Linked DNA regions of Stegostoma tigrinum. The protein of the gene in region 1 purifies or fractionates together with the protein of each later gene. This does not show direct contact. Links are inferred from orthologs where the notes say so. Each region holds a gene or a part of one and is shown on either strand. Other genes may lie near its edges.

Evidence for each region.
Region 2: the proteins of rictora (region 1) and proline-rich protein 5-like purify together in Homo sapiens (affinity purification with western blotting; 3 studies listed by BioGRID and IntAct, with this or other methods). This does not show direct contact. The link is inferred for Stegostoma tigrinum from reciprocal best matches to the Homo sapiens genes RICTOR and PRR5L.

The regions. Positions count from the first base shown.
Region 1 is NC_081356.1:134,468,229-134,475,558, forward strand, and holds the start of rictora (rapamycin-insensitive companion of mTOR), read right to left. Parts: upstream 3,053-7,330; 5' UTR 2,973-3,052; coding exon 2,924-2,972; intron 2,670-2,923; coding exon 2,622-2,669; intron 1-2,621. UniProt on the Homo sapiens protein: Component of the mechanistic target of rapamycin complex 2 (mTORC2), which transduces signals from growth factors to pathways involved in proliferation, cytoskeletal organization, lipogenesis and anabolic output.
Region 2 is NC_081370.1:339,811-346,969, forward strand, and holds the start of proline-rich protein 5-like, read right to left. Parts: upstream 3,091-7,159; 5' UTR 2,266-3,090; intron 1-2,265. UniProt on the Homo sapiens protein: Associates with the mTORC2 complex that regulates cellular processes including survival and organization of the cytoskeleton.

The DNA.
Region 1 (7,330 bases):
AGGAGATCAGAGAGCCCGGGCTGCTGGAGACGCAGTCGCCGGTCCCTCCCCTCAGGACGTGGCCGTTTCGAAAAAAACACATCGTGCACCCATCATCCTCCTTTCTCCACCCAGAGTCAAAAAGCAATAAACGTTAATACAGAAAAATACATCGAAACTGCCGCCACTTCCCACAAAACTTAAGAGTCCATTTTAAACGTAAACAAATCACTGAAGGCTTCATTACTAGGCAATGTTTGCAAGCTGACAGACAGGGAAGGCATCTCCGGAGCAGCGCGATAGGGCAAAGGTTAGGCTGGCGCTGGAACTGATTAATGGAGTAGGGTCAATACAAGCACTTGGGCAAGAGATACCGAGCAGGTTCCACACATAGGCACCAGTAGTCAGCGTTTTCAGAAATACTGCACTTGCACTGCATGACTCACTCGCTAAATCAATGCTGCTGGGAGACCAGGTACCACCACGATAGAAGCTCAGAATCCCAATACTGTGGAACAGACCATTCAGCCCTTCAAGTCCACGCTGATCTTCCAAACAGCATCCCATCCAGATCCAACCCTCTCCCTGTAAGCCTGCATTTCCCATGGCTAATCCACCTAACACACATCTCTGGACTGTGGGAGGAAATCAGAGCACCAGGAGGAAACCTATCCCGACCCTGTGAGAACGTCTGTGTGGAGTCTGCACGGCTGCCCGAGGCTGGTATTGAACCCGGGTGCTAGGTGCTGTGAGGCAGCTGTGCTACCTACTGAGCCACCATCCAGGAGACCACTTGCTTTTGTTTCTAAACGAGCACAGACAATGCATTTAATAATGTTACATGTTATCAGCTGGCATCAGATGTGAAACATTAACAAGAGAAAATACCCATTCCTTGCAATTTAGCAGTACTAGATTTAGGATTGAGAGAATATTAATGACTTTCGTTGCCAAAAAATCACTACTTTGGACAGTGAAAAATGCTGGTTTTATTTGCTGAGTAGGCAGAGGATAGTTTTAGAGCACTGGTGAGTACAAAATCATGCCTAAATAGTGACAGCTTGAGGTGTTAATTAACTTGAAATAACAGGAGGTATCGCTACATGAAAGGTCTTGCTTGGTTTGTCTAGAATGGAACAACTTTGGGGGAGGAAATTGGAATAGAATGGCTCTTGCTTAGAATGAACTAAGCTGGGTGAGAGAAAATTTCACTGAAAAAGTGTACAGTACAATGCAGGAGAAGGCAGACAAAATAGGATGACAGTGGCAAAGGGGCATATAGAAAAATACAGAAAATCAAGAATGTAGAGTCAAAGGCTCAGACTAAGGGACTGGTCACTTAGAATTGAGATGAGAAAACACAAAAATACAGAAAACAAAACCAATTCAGTGTAACTAGTCCACTTCAACATGATCATAGCTGATCCTCCATCTGAGGGCCACGCTCCCACTATCGCCCCATACCCATAATTTCACTGAAAGACATATGAATTTTTGGAGTTCTGTACCCGAGAGCGCTGTGGATGCCAGTTAACAATTACACACACAAACTGAAAACAAGAAATGCTGGAGGTCACAGCAGGTCTTACAGCATCCATGGAGAAAGCCCATGCTAATGTTTTGAATCTAGATGACTCCATCAGAACTGAACACTCACAAAGATCGCTGCAGATATTTTGAATGACAGATGAGAGGGGCTTGCAGGCGCTCTACTGTCGAACAAGTTTAGGTCTCAAGAGGCTGTAGTGTTTACTCCTCCTATTTGTTAGGTTCTTTACCACCCACTACTTCAAGATCCTCGATGCCCAGTTTCATACCCTCAATGTCCAATCCTGTATTGCATCTTTCAGCTATTTGATCTGTCCCAGACGTTCCCCCTACCCCCAGCCTCATCTTACATCCCCCCCCCAATCCGATTACACAGATTCCCATCTTGCCTGCTCCCCCTATCCATTATCCTTCGCCCTCTCCCAGTCCCCCCTTTTCCCATCCCACTTCAACACCGTCGTCCCCTTCCTAATCAATAAATCCCAGCTCACTTTCTTTCCTACCCCAACCCCGCAAAATGCACCCAGTTCTCCCTTTAGCCCACCCGCCCCCAATGACAGTGGAGGGCCAACCAGCTCCAGGGCGGAGTGGAAAGGCGAGACCACAAACAGAGATGGGGGGGGGGGGGGAGGAGCGGGGCGGGGCGTGGGGCAGATGAATGATCCCACAAACCCCTCTCCTGCCCCCGAGTGGAATCTCCCCACCAACGGACGGGGCTCGCGGCCCGGGAGCCGTTAGTGTTTGAAAAGCTGGCGCCCAGGAGAGGCGGCGGCCCCTGATTCATTCGGTGCGAGGGCGGCGGGAGACAGTCAGAGAGAAGGAAAAACAACTTCACTTTCCCACTCCTCCCGACTGAGTCCACCGGTTCCCTCCCCACCCCCAACTCCTTTACACAATAATTCCAAAGTTTTGTGGTCTCCCTCACACTCCGGTCAGCGGAGCAGCGACTTTGCCCTCACGTCTCATCGTAGCTCCAACACCATTCCTCCCCCACCACGATCCGCCATCACCAACCTCCTACAGAATTTTATTTTGTTTATTTACTTCCTTCCACCGTCCTCATATTTAAAAAAAATGCCCCGTTTCCCCCTTACCTCGGGACAGATCGAGCGGCACGTTCTCCTCCCCGCTGTCATTCCGCCCTGCGTGCATATTGTAAATCAATATAAGAAGATATGTGCAGAGGAGAGAGAGAGAGAAAACAAATACGATTAAGGATGGTTCAGTTAAGGTGGCCGGTAAGTCATACATTTTATTTCCATAAACAAACAACATTCGACGGGGCCGTTATTAAAGTGCGAGCGTCGTTAATTGCCGCTGCTGAGGGTTTTTTGTTTTTGTTCTGGTTATCGGTCTATGCCTTGCCGGCCGGGTCTGACGACTGAGGGTAATGTACCTCTGATGCGGAGGCTCCTAACGGAGCGGCCGCGAACGCTGACCGCCATGTTCACGGACTCTCGCCTCTCTGCCCGCCCGCCCGGCCTGGGGCCGCACAAAAACACCGGAAACGCCGGGCAGCTCTCGCGAGAGGACGGCCCTGGCCCGGGCCCAGGCTCAATGAATGGGGAGGTGGGGTGGGGTGTAAGGGTGGAGGGGCGGGTCTCCAGGGTTAGGGGTGGGTCTTTAGGAAGGGGGCGTGCTCCAGGAATAAGGGGTTTGGTGGTTTGGTGCTGCACTAGAAACGTTAATTTGGCTTTCTCTCCACAGATTGTTAGACTTGTATCAGAGGTAACGGGAACTGCAGATGCTGGAGAAACCAAGATAACAAAGTGTATACTGCATCCACTGTACCCGGTGCGGCTTTCTCTACATTGGGGAAACCAAGCGGAGGCTTGGGGACCGCTTTGCAGAACACCTCCGCTCAGTTCGCAACAAACAACTGCACCTCCCAGTCGCAAACCATTTCCACTCCCCCTCCCATTCTCTTGATGACATGTCCATCATGGGCCTCCTGCACTGCCACAATGATGCCACCCGAAGGTTGCAGGAACAGCAACTCATATTCCGCCTGGGAACCCTGCAGCCATATGGTATCAATGTGGACTTCACCAGTTTCAAAATCTCCCCTTCCCCCACTGCATCCCTCAACCAGCCCAGTTCATCCCCTCCCCCCACTGCACCACACAACCAGCCCAGCTCTTCCCCCCCACCCACTGCATCCCAAAACCAGTCCAACCTGTCTCTGCCTCCCGAACCGGTTCTTCCTCTCACCCATCCCTTCCTCCCACCCCAAGCCGCACCCCCAGCTACCTACTAACCTCATCCCACCTCCTTGACCTGTCCGTCTTCCCTGGACTGACCTATCCCCTCCCTACCTCCCCACCTACACCCTCTCCACCTATCTTCTTTACTCTCCATCTTCGGTCCGCCTCCCCCTCTCTCCCTATTTATTCCAGTTCCCTCCCCCCATCCCCCTCTCTGATGAAGGGTCTAGGCCCGAAATGTCAGCTTTTGTGCTCCTGAGATGCTGCTTGGCCTGCTGTGTTCATCCAGCCTCACATTTTATTATCTTGGAATCTCCAGCATCTGCAGTTCCCATTATCTCTAACAAAGTGTGAAGCTGGATGAACACAGCAGGCCCAGCAGCATCTCAGGAGCACAAAAGCTGACGTTTCAGGCCTAGACCCTCCATCAGAAAAGGGGGATGAGGAGAGGGTTCTGAAATAAATAGGGAGAGAGAGGTAGGCAGATTGAAGATGGAGACAAAAGAAGATAGGTGGAGAGGAGAGTATAGGTGGGGAGGTAGGGAGGGGATAGGTCAGTCCGGGGAGGACGTACAGGTCAAGGGGGTGGGATGAGGTTAGTAGGTAGGAAACGGAGGTGTGTTGGGAGGAGGGGATAGGTGAGAGGAAGAACAGTTTAGGGACGAGGGGACGAACTGGGCTGGTTTTGGGATGCAGTGGGGGGAGGGGAGATTTTGAAGCTGGTGAAACCCACAGTGATACCATTGGGCTGCAGGGTTCCCAAGCGGAATATGAGTTGCTGTTCCCGCAACCTATCGGTGGTGTCATTGTGGCACTGCAGGAGGCCCATGATGGACATGCCATCTCAGGAATGGGAGGGGGAGCTGAAATGGTTTGCGACAATGAGGTATAGAACATTACAGCACAGTACAGGCCCTTCGGCCCTCGATGTTGTGCTGACCTGTCATACCGATCTCAAGCCCATCTAACTTAAACTATTTTATACGAGGTGCAAGATAATACAGTGTGAAGCTGGGTGAACACAGCAGGCCAAGCAGCATCTCAGGAGCACAAAAGCTGACGTTTCAGGCCTCTCTCTGATGAAGGGTCTAGGCCCGAAAAGTCAGCTTTTGTGCTCCTGAGATGCTGCGTGGCTTGCTGTGTTCATCCAGCTTCACACTTTATAATCTTGGATTCCCCAGCATCTGCAGTTCCCATTATCTCTCTATACTAGATGCAGTTATTTACTGTGAACCGAGCATAGGTGTTCTGCAAACCGGTCCCCAAGCCTCCGCTTGGTTTCCCCAATGTAGAGGAAGCCACACAGTGTACAGCAGATGCAGTATACCACATTGGCGGATGTGCAGGTGAACGTCTGCTTGATGTGTAAAGTCTTCTTGGGGCCTGGGATGGGGGTGAGGGAGGAGGTGTGAGGGCAAGTGTAGCACTTCCTGCGGTTGCAGGAGAAAGTGCCGGGTGTGGTGGGGTTGGAGGGGAATGTGGAGCGGATAAGGGAATCGCGGAGAGAGTGTTCTCTCCGGAAGGCAGACAGAGAGAAGTGTGGGGATGGAAAACTGTCTTTAGCGGTGGGGTTGGATTGTAGATGGCAGAAGTGTCGGAGGATGATGCGTTGTATCCACAGGTTTGTGGGGTGGTATGTGAGAACTAGGGGGATTCTCGTTTGGCAGTTATTGCAGGGGCGGGGTGTGAGGGATGAGTTGCGGGAAATGCGGGAGACGTGGTTGAGGGCGTTCTCGACCACCGCAGGGGGATGTTGCGCTCCTTGAAGAACGAGGAGATCTGGGATGTACGGGAGTGGATAGCCTCATCCTGGGAGCAGATGCGGCGGAGGTGAAGGAATTGGGAATAGGGGATGTAATTTTTGCAGGAAGGTGGGTGTGTGGAGTTGATTTCTAGGTAGCTGTGGGAGTCGGTGAGCTTGAAATGGACATCGGTTTCTAGGTGGTTGCCTGAGATGGAGACAGGTCCAGGAAGGTGAGGGATGTGTCGGAGATGGTCCAGGTGAACTTAAGGTTGGGGCGGAAGGGGTTAGTGAAGTGGATGAACTGTTTGAGCTCCTCTTGGGAGCGCGAGGCGGCACCAATACAGGTATCAATGTAACAGAGGAAGAGGTGGGGGTTGGGGCCAGTGTAGTTGCGGAAGAGGGACTGTTCCACGTAACCTACAAAGAGGCGGGCATAGCTTGGGCCCATGTGGGTACCCATGGCCATCCCTTTTGTCTGTAGGAATTGGGAGGAATAGAAAGAGAAGTTGTTGAGGGTGAGGACAAGTTCGGCTAGGCGGATGAGGATGTCGTTGGAGAGGGACTGGTTGGGTCTGTGGGACAGGAAGAAGCGGAGGGACTGGGCTGGTTTTAGGATGTGGTCCCCAAGCCTCCTGCACATCTTCACCTGCACATCTGCCGATGTGCTATACTGCATCCGCTGTACCCGTTGTGGCTGCCTCTACATCAGGGAAACCAGCAGAGTCTTGGAGACTGCTTTGCAGAACACCTACACTCAGTTTGCAATAAACAACTGCACCTCACAGTCGCGAACCATTTCAATTCCCCCTCGCATTCTTTAGATGACACGACCACCCTGGGCCTCCTGCAGTGCCATAACGATGCTACCCGAAGGTTGCAGAACCCTGCAGCCCAATGGTATCAATGTGGATTTCACAAGCTTCAAAATCTCCCCTCCCCCCCACTGCATCCCAAAACTAGCCCAGCTCGTCCCCACCTCCCTAATCTGTTCTTCCTCTCTCCTTTCCCCTCCTCTCACCTCAAGCCGCACCCTCATTTCCTTCCTTCTAACCTCGTCCCGCCCCCTTGACCTGTCCGTCCTCCTTGGACTGACCTATCCTCTCCCTACCTCCCACCTATACTCACCTCTACAGGATCCATGCCCGCCCCTTTAATTTGTCTGTCTCCTCTCCACCTACCTTTTCCTCTATTCATCTTCGATCTGCCTCCCCCTCTCTCCCTATTTATTTCAGAACCCTCTCCCCATCCCCCTTTTCTGATGAAGGGTCTAGGCCCGAAATGTCAGCTTTTGTGCTCCTGAGATGCTGCTTGGCCTGCTGTGTTCATCCAGCTCCACACTTTGTTATTTCTGTTAGACTTGCTACGTTTTCCCAGCAGTTTATGGTTTTGTCCCTGAGGGACATTCAGGGTATGGGGAAGAAGGAGAGGGTCTGATAAAGTAGGATGGCAGCCAAGAGGGACAGCAGCAACATAGTTGGCAGAGGGGCCAGCTGTCAACCTTCACCAATGGAAGAACACATTTAATGTCAGGCTGACTTTCTTCTTCTGAAGAAGGGAAGAAACGTCAGCTTTCCTGTTCTTCAGATGCTGCTTGGTCTGCTGTGTTCATTCAGCCTCACACTGTTTTGACTGAGATTCTCCAACATTGGCAGTTCTTGCTATATAATGTCAGGCTGAGTGGGTGCAGCAGAACAGCGTGATTTATGTGGAAGTGGAGTGTGCAATAGTAGAGCACAGTGAACAGGAGGGTGAGGCTGGCAAAGGAAAAGCGTCCTGAATGTGGTGGGTACAATGGAAGAGCCTGGTGAATGGATGCTTTGGGATGGCTGCGTACAATGGAAGGGAAGGTAAACGT
Region 2 (7,159 bases), on another chromosome or scaffold:
GCATGCTGCTGTGCAGAGGGACTTGGGTGTTCTTGTGCATGAATCGCTGAAGGTAGGTTTGCAGGTGCAGCAGGCGATTAAAAAGGCAAATGGAATTTTGTCTGCCATTGCTCGAGGGATGGGGTTTAAAAACAGGGAGGCTATGCTGCAGCTGTACAGGGTCCCGGTGAGGCCACACCTGGAGTACTGTGCGCAGTTTTAGTGTCCTTACTTGAGAAGGGATATACTAGCACTGGAGGGGGTGCAAAGGAGATTCACTCGGTTGATTCCAGAGTTGAGAGGGTTGGATTATGAGGGGATACTGAGTAGGCTGGGATTATACTCACTGGAATTCAGAAAAATGAGGGGAGATCTTTTAGAAACATATAAGATTATGAAGGGAATAGATAAGGTGGAGGCAGGAAGGTTGTTTCTGTTCGCAGGTGAAACTAGGGCTAGAGGGCATCGCCTCAAAATAAAGGGAAGCAGATGTAGGACTGAGGTCAGGAGGAACTTCTTCACCCAAAGGGTTGTGAATCTGTGGAATTCCCTATCCAGTGAAGCAGTTGAAGCTACCTCGCTGAATGTGTTTAAGGCAAGGCTAGATAAATTTTTGAACAGTAAAGGAATTAAGGGTTATGGGGAGTGGGCAGGTAAGTGGAGCTGAGTCTCAAACAGATCAGGCATGAAGTTATTAAATGGCTGGGCAGGCTTGAGGGGCCAGATGGCCTACTCCTGCTCCTAGTTCTTACGTCTTTTGGACACAACAAGCTTGTATTCACTTGAGTTTACAACAGTAAGGGGTGATTTGATTCGAAAAATTAAGATCCCGAGACATCTTGACAGGATGCATGTTGAATAAACATTTCCTCCTCTTTGGGGAATCTCGAGCTGTTAAAAAAGATAGGGGGCTGCCCATTTAATACAGAGAGAATGAGAGTTTATTGCTAACGGAGATCCTAAATTTTTAGAACTCTCTTCCTCCTAAGTGGCTGTAAATAGATTCCTTGAATATTTTGAAGGCAGAGGTAGGCAAATTTGTGATAATGAAGGGGGTGAGGGGTGACTGGGAATCTTATTGAATGACAGAACAGGCTCAGGGCGCTGAGTGGTCTACATGTAGATGTATCTTATACCATGCCCTGCAGCTACAAATGCGGCAAAAATGTGAGGTGCCACAGCCTCCTCAGTTAAAATATAACCCAAAACTTCATGACTCATTTAGAACCTCAGTTGCCTTGCGTAAAATCACAGTGGAAAGACTATGTCACAAATTCACTTCATGTGTGAGAGAGTCTGTAGGTTTGAGTTGTAAAGGAGAGGCTGGGTAGGCAGGGACTTTTTCTCCCTGGTGTGTCAGAGACTGAGCTTTTAGAGGTTTTCGTGAGGGACATAGATAAGGTAATTACCAAGGTCTTCCTCCCAAAGAGTAAGGGAGCATCCGTCTAAGGTGAGAGGGGGCAGATTTAAAAGGGAACTGAGGGACAACTTTTCCACAAGGTGAGTGGTGCAAATATGGGACCAGCTGCCAGGTGATGTGGTAGAGGAGGATACAGTTACAAAATTGAAAAGACATTTGGACAGGTACATGAATAGGAAAGGTTTAGAAGGATATGGGCCAGACACAGGCAAATGATACTAGTTCAGTTTGGGATACCTGGTTGGTGTGGACGAGATGGACTGAAGGGTCTGTCTCTGTGTGTTTAACTCTGGACAAAATCAAAGATGTCTATAATGTGTGCATTTAGGTGTGACATAGTGTGTATATGTGACAGTGTACGTTTTAGGGAGACGACAGACACCTCACTTGGGAGGGTGACATTGTGTGTAATCACCAATAAATGAGGGGGGGGGGTGGGGGTGGGAAATAAGATTTGAAATGCGGTGAGCGTGTATGAGAGAGGGAGGGAGAGACCGAGCAAACAGTTTACACATGGGACTCTCAATTAATGTCTAAAGTGAGGAAGTGGGAAGCAATGCTGGACCTGTGCCTCACGGCCCTTTGCTCCAGTATCGGCATTCACAGTACCAGTTCCCGTGTATCAATAACAGAAAGGCTAACTCGCCGTATACAAGGCGGGGATGGGATGGCGGGGGGGGGGGGTGTCCTGGGAAACTCTGCAGAAAGTCAGAGCAGTAAAACTAAATCGGAGGTGGGGGGGGGGCGAAGTAAAATGTAAAAACAAAAGTCCCCTTAAAACTAGCGATTCAGTGGTTAGGGTTAGGGTTAGGAACCCTGAGTTCTGCCTTTCAGCAGAGTCTGACCAGTCACTGAGAATCACTTACCCCTGAAACGTTGGCAGATTGTTCAGCGTTGAGGCGGCAGGTCTGTTCGGTTCTCGGAGAGGGGAGGATCCAAGAGGCGAGCTGCTGTTATGGGAGGTGGGAGCTAGGCATTATAGCTAGCAGTGGGACTGACGCCTCTCCGCTGTCTCTGGCCTCCCTTTATACACAGTTTAGGCTGGGTCGCCCTGGTGGGAGGTGTACATTTATATCGTGAGACGGCCGTCGTTCAGTTGCGGCTTTTCCTGACGGGCTGTAATTTTTTCCTTGTCGTTTGGGGCAGCCAGGCAGCTTGTTGGACCGAATCCAACGCTTTGGTCATTGAGAATTTTTTTTTCAATGGTTTTAAAAATTTGTGAGTTCGAGCGAAACAAAAAGTAGTAACCCGGAGGACTCAAGGCAGAACAGGGTAGCGTGCAGTTTCTTTTTGAAGTTTATCTTTCCTTGTCTTTGGATGGGGACCGAAGTAAAATTCATCTTGAGAGACGCCGGAATTGGCAGAATTCAATCTTCCAGTGGCTATCTGGGTATGTTTAACGCGCAAAGTGCAGACTTACATTTAGATAACGCCTTTCGCCACATCGGGATGTCACAGTGGTCGGGTGTGCTGTCCCCACCGTGTGGAAGCAGGCCGTTCGGCCCAACCAGACTACACCGCCCGTCCACTTACAACCACCCCATCCCTATAACCCTGCATTTCCCAAAACCAATCCCCCTAACCTATGCATCTTGAGAGTGAGGGAAGAAAATCCGTCCAGACGCGGAGAGAACGTGCAGACTCCACGCTGAGAACTGAACGTGGGTCCCTCACACTATCAAAGCAGCAATGCTGAACGCTGACCCACCCTGTCGTTCAAACACAGTTTCACTCAGTGAAATATCACTTGAAGTCTGGTCACTTTTCCAATGGACAAGAAGTTCCCAAACAGGATATTGAGCAGCTCATTTATTGCCAGCAGTCACAGCCCAGAAATAAATATTGGCCAGGATACCAAGGAAATGACCCATGTTCAAACAGGGCGATTCGATTTCCAATCATCCAGAAAGACTAGCAGGGTGTTGCTCTAACCTATTTTGGCTGTCCAGCAACTGGACTGTTCACCTACGTTTGGGATGAAAATGCTACCAGGCATATTGCTCTGAAATAAAAGCAAAACGGGCTGTACAAACGCTGTATTTAAACTCCTCAGTTCAACAAGAGAATCTGGGGGTGAAAAGAGGCAGTTGTTGCCAAATTCATCAGCAGGTTGAGCAGGTAGTCTGAGGATTCAAAGAGGCAATTAAAGGAGAATATATAAACACAAGATCTGGGGACAGGTATTTATAAAGTGGATTGTTGCTAACCTTATAAAGGTCAGAATGCCGTCACATGCAGTGGATCACTCTGAAGTGCAATGTAGGCAAACACGGCAGTTTATTTTGCAGAAAGCAGAAAAGAATGAGTGACCATTGGTCTAGGCCCGAAATGTCAGCTTTTGTGCTCCTCAGATGCTGCTTGGCCTGCTGTGTTCATCCAGCCCCACACTTTGTTATTTCGGATTCTCCAGCATCTGCAGTTCCCATTATCTCTTGAGTGACCATTTGATGTGTTGCTCGTGGTTTTGGTGGAAATTGAAACATTGACCAGGACGTTAAGAAATACTCTCTAATTGTCCCCAATAGTGTTGACCGGGACCTTCTATAACTAATCTGAAGCAGAGACTGTCTTCAGAATATCACTGAAATGTTCCAGTGTAAGAGGAGGTTATTTGGCTCCTCACGTCTGTACTAGCTTTCTGAGTTTTATGACTTAGTGTCACTCTCCCGCTTTCCCCCCATAATCCTGAGTATTGCTTCCATTTAAATAATTATCTAATGCTGCCTCAGATGCTTCAAGGGAACTTGCCACCAAGACACTCCCAGGCAGTGCACTCCAGCATCTAATTATTCAGTGTGAAAAAGTTTTCTTTTTTGCAAATTGATTCAAATCTGTGACTGCTTGGTCCTTAGATTCTTTTATGAGGGGCAGCAGGTTCTCCCTGCTTACTCTGTCCAAGATCCTTCATGATTTTGCAAACTTCTATCAACCTGCTGTCATGTGTTCTGTGAAAGACAGTGCTCGAGTAATTCAGCATAGTTCTGGAATGTCATCATAGATTAGAATCATAGAATCCCTACAGTGTGGAAGCGGGACATTCAGCCCATCGAGACCACACCGGCCTTCCAAACAGCATCCCACCCAGACCCACCCTCCGCAACGCCAACTCTACCCCCATAACCCTACATTACATATGGCTAATCCATCTAGCCTGCACGTCCCTGGATACAGTGGGCAATTTCGCATGGCCAATGCACCGAACCTGTACATCTTTAGGACTGTGGAAGGAAACCAGAGGACTCGTAAGAAACCCACACAGGCACGGGGAGAATGTAGAAATTCCACACTGAGAGTGGAATTGAATCCAGGTCCGTGGCACTGAGAGTAGTTAATCGTTAAGTGGAGTTTACAACTACAAGGAAAACATTGTCTTTTATGTGAAGAACAATAGATACCTGAGATTGATTAGAAGGCAATAATCTCATCAAGATTTCACAATGCTGCAAGAGCAAAGATTTAGCTACTTATAATCATTACCTGAAATTTGAACTGATCTTGTAGGTTGTGACCATATTTAGCTGGCATGCCCTGAAACATAATAAAAATCTTTATCATTATGAAGGAGTTTCTTAGAGTGAAGGTGAAGAAGACGTTTATACTCATGGGTGAATCGAGGCAAGACACATGAATAGAAGCTAGGGAAGAAAGGAAACTAAAAATTTAAGGGGCATTTATTTCCAAGGCAGTAAAAATGTGGAACACACTTGAATAGATTGAAGCTGCATATAAAGACGAGGTTGAGGGCAATAGAGTGACATAAACCAACAGGAGAAAGAATAGGAGATTGTGTTGGCAATACAGACAATAATAAACTAACTGAAAGGGACTCTTAGCCATATAGTGACACAGCAAGGAAACTGGCCCTTTGGTCCAACTCGTTCACGCCGACCAAGTTTCCCAAACTAAAGTAGCCTGATTTGCCTGAATTTGGCCCATATCGCTCTAAACCTTTCCTATTTATGTACATATCCAAACGTCTTTTAAATGTTGAAATTGTACCCCCCTCGACCACTTCCTCTGGTAGCTGATTCCATACACACCAGCCTCTGTGTGTAAAAGTTGCCCTCAGGTGCTTTTTAAATCTTGCCCCTCTCACCTTAAACCTGTGACCTCTAGTTTAAGACTCTTATAGGATGGTGAAGATGAAAATTAGAAATTACTGTTGACACCGAGGTCCCTCTGCTTCCTTGACCCACTTCTCATTGAATTGTTGATCACCACATTTTCCTTCCTGTACTACATATTAGTGGCTTTATAACTAACTCTCTACTCAGTTATTCTCCCGCTGTCCCATTCCTTTTCAAAACTGCCAATATTAAACTGCCAAAAAAATACCCTTGACCTCGCCTATCCTCGCAAATTATCACTGTAGCTCCCACATCCCTCTGCTCTTTGAGAGTGCTGTTACTTCTTAAATCCAAACCCATCTTCCCTGCACCTTCCTGTTTGAATTAGTAATCATGTTTCCATTCCTATCAATAGCACTGCAGCGACATTTATCAAAATCACAAGTAATATCATCCCTGGCCATGTGGTACTTTCTAGCACTGGGCTTCCAAAGCATGTAATCTGATTGGCTATGGTTCTACATCTCTTCCTTTGTCCAATCCTATGTCCTCCTTTCATTCCACTCTTACCTATCCAACCACAGACATTACAATGACAGCATCTTCACTTCCTCCCATGGCACTATTACCTTCAGAGTTCCCTAAGGATCCATGCTTGACACCTCCAATTCCCTCATTTACAAGTTGCATGTTTGAAACATCAAAAACAGACACCTTTTGGAAACATCTAACTCTGCCTCACCATCAGATCTCTTAACTTCACCACTCCTGATGTGTCTATCCAACGTCCAGTCTTGGATGAGCCCGAGTTTCTTTCAGTTAAAGACGAAGGTTATCGTCTTTGGCTTCTGAGACAAATCCCAAGCATTTGGATTGATACTCATCCCTGCCTGGCCACACAACTATTTGCAGCCTCAACAAGTCATTTTGTCACAAACGTGAAGTTTGTAATATTGTGTTGGGATCCTTGCAGAGTGCCTGAGGACGTCCAGCAGGCGATTGTTTTCCAGACCTCAAAAGATACAGGCAAGGAGCCAAAGGATTGAACATTATCTCACTGTTTAAAAAGGATGCAAGGGTTCATCCAAAAACTAATAAACTATTCAATTTGACTCTGGTGGTTCACAAATTGTTGCAATCTGAAGTGATTGTAATGAGGTCAGCCAGGTAGACCCTCTGAATATGAGTTCCCCGATTGGGGCCGCTAATTTGATCCAATCAGGGAGCCCTGGCTGACAGATAACTACAGGACTGTCTGATAGCTTGTCACACTAAGATCTGCCTCTGCGGGAGCTGGATCAGTGTCACATGTTAAATAAAGGGTGACTTGGTGACAGGATATTGGCCTGTGAGTTATTTCAGAATCAATTCTAAGAGGCAAGATAAACAATCACTTAGAAAAGCAGGGATTAATCATGGATAGTCAGCATGGTTTTGTAAAAGGAAGATTGTATCTTATCAACTACATCAAATTTCTTGAGGAGGTAGCAAGGAGGATTGATGAGGATAGTGCAGTGGACGTTGTTTATGTGGATTTTTGTAAGGCATTTTGAAAAGGCCCCACAGGGAAGACTTTCAGAAATATAAAATCGCACGGGATACAATGAATATGTTGAAGTGGGCCCAAAGTTAGCTCAGTGATGTATAACAGAGGTTAATGGTCAATGGATGTTTTGTGAATGGAACGTGGATT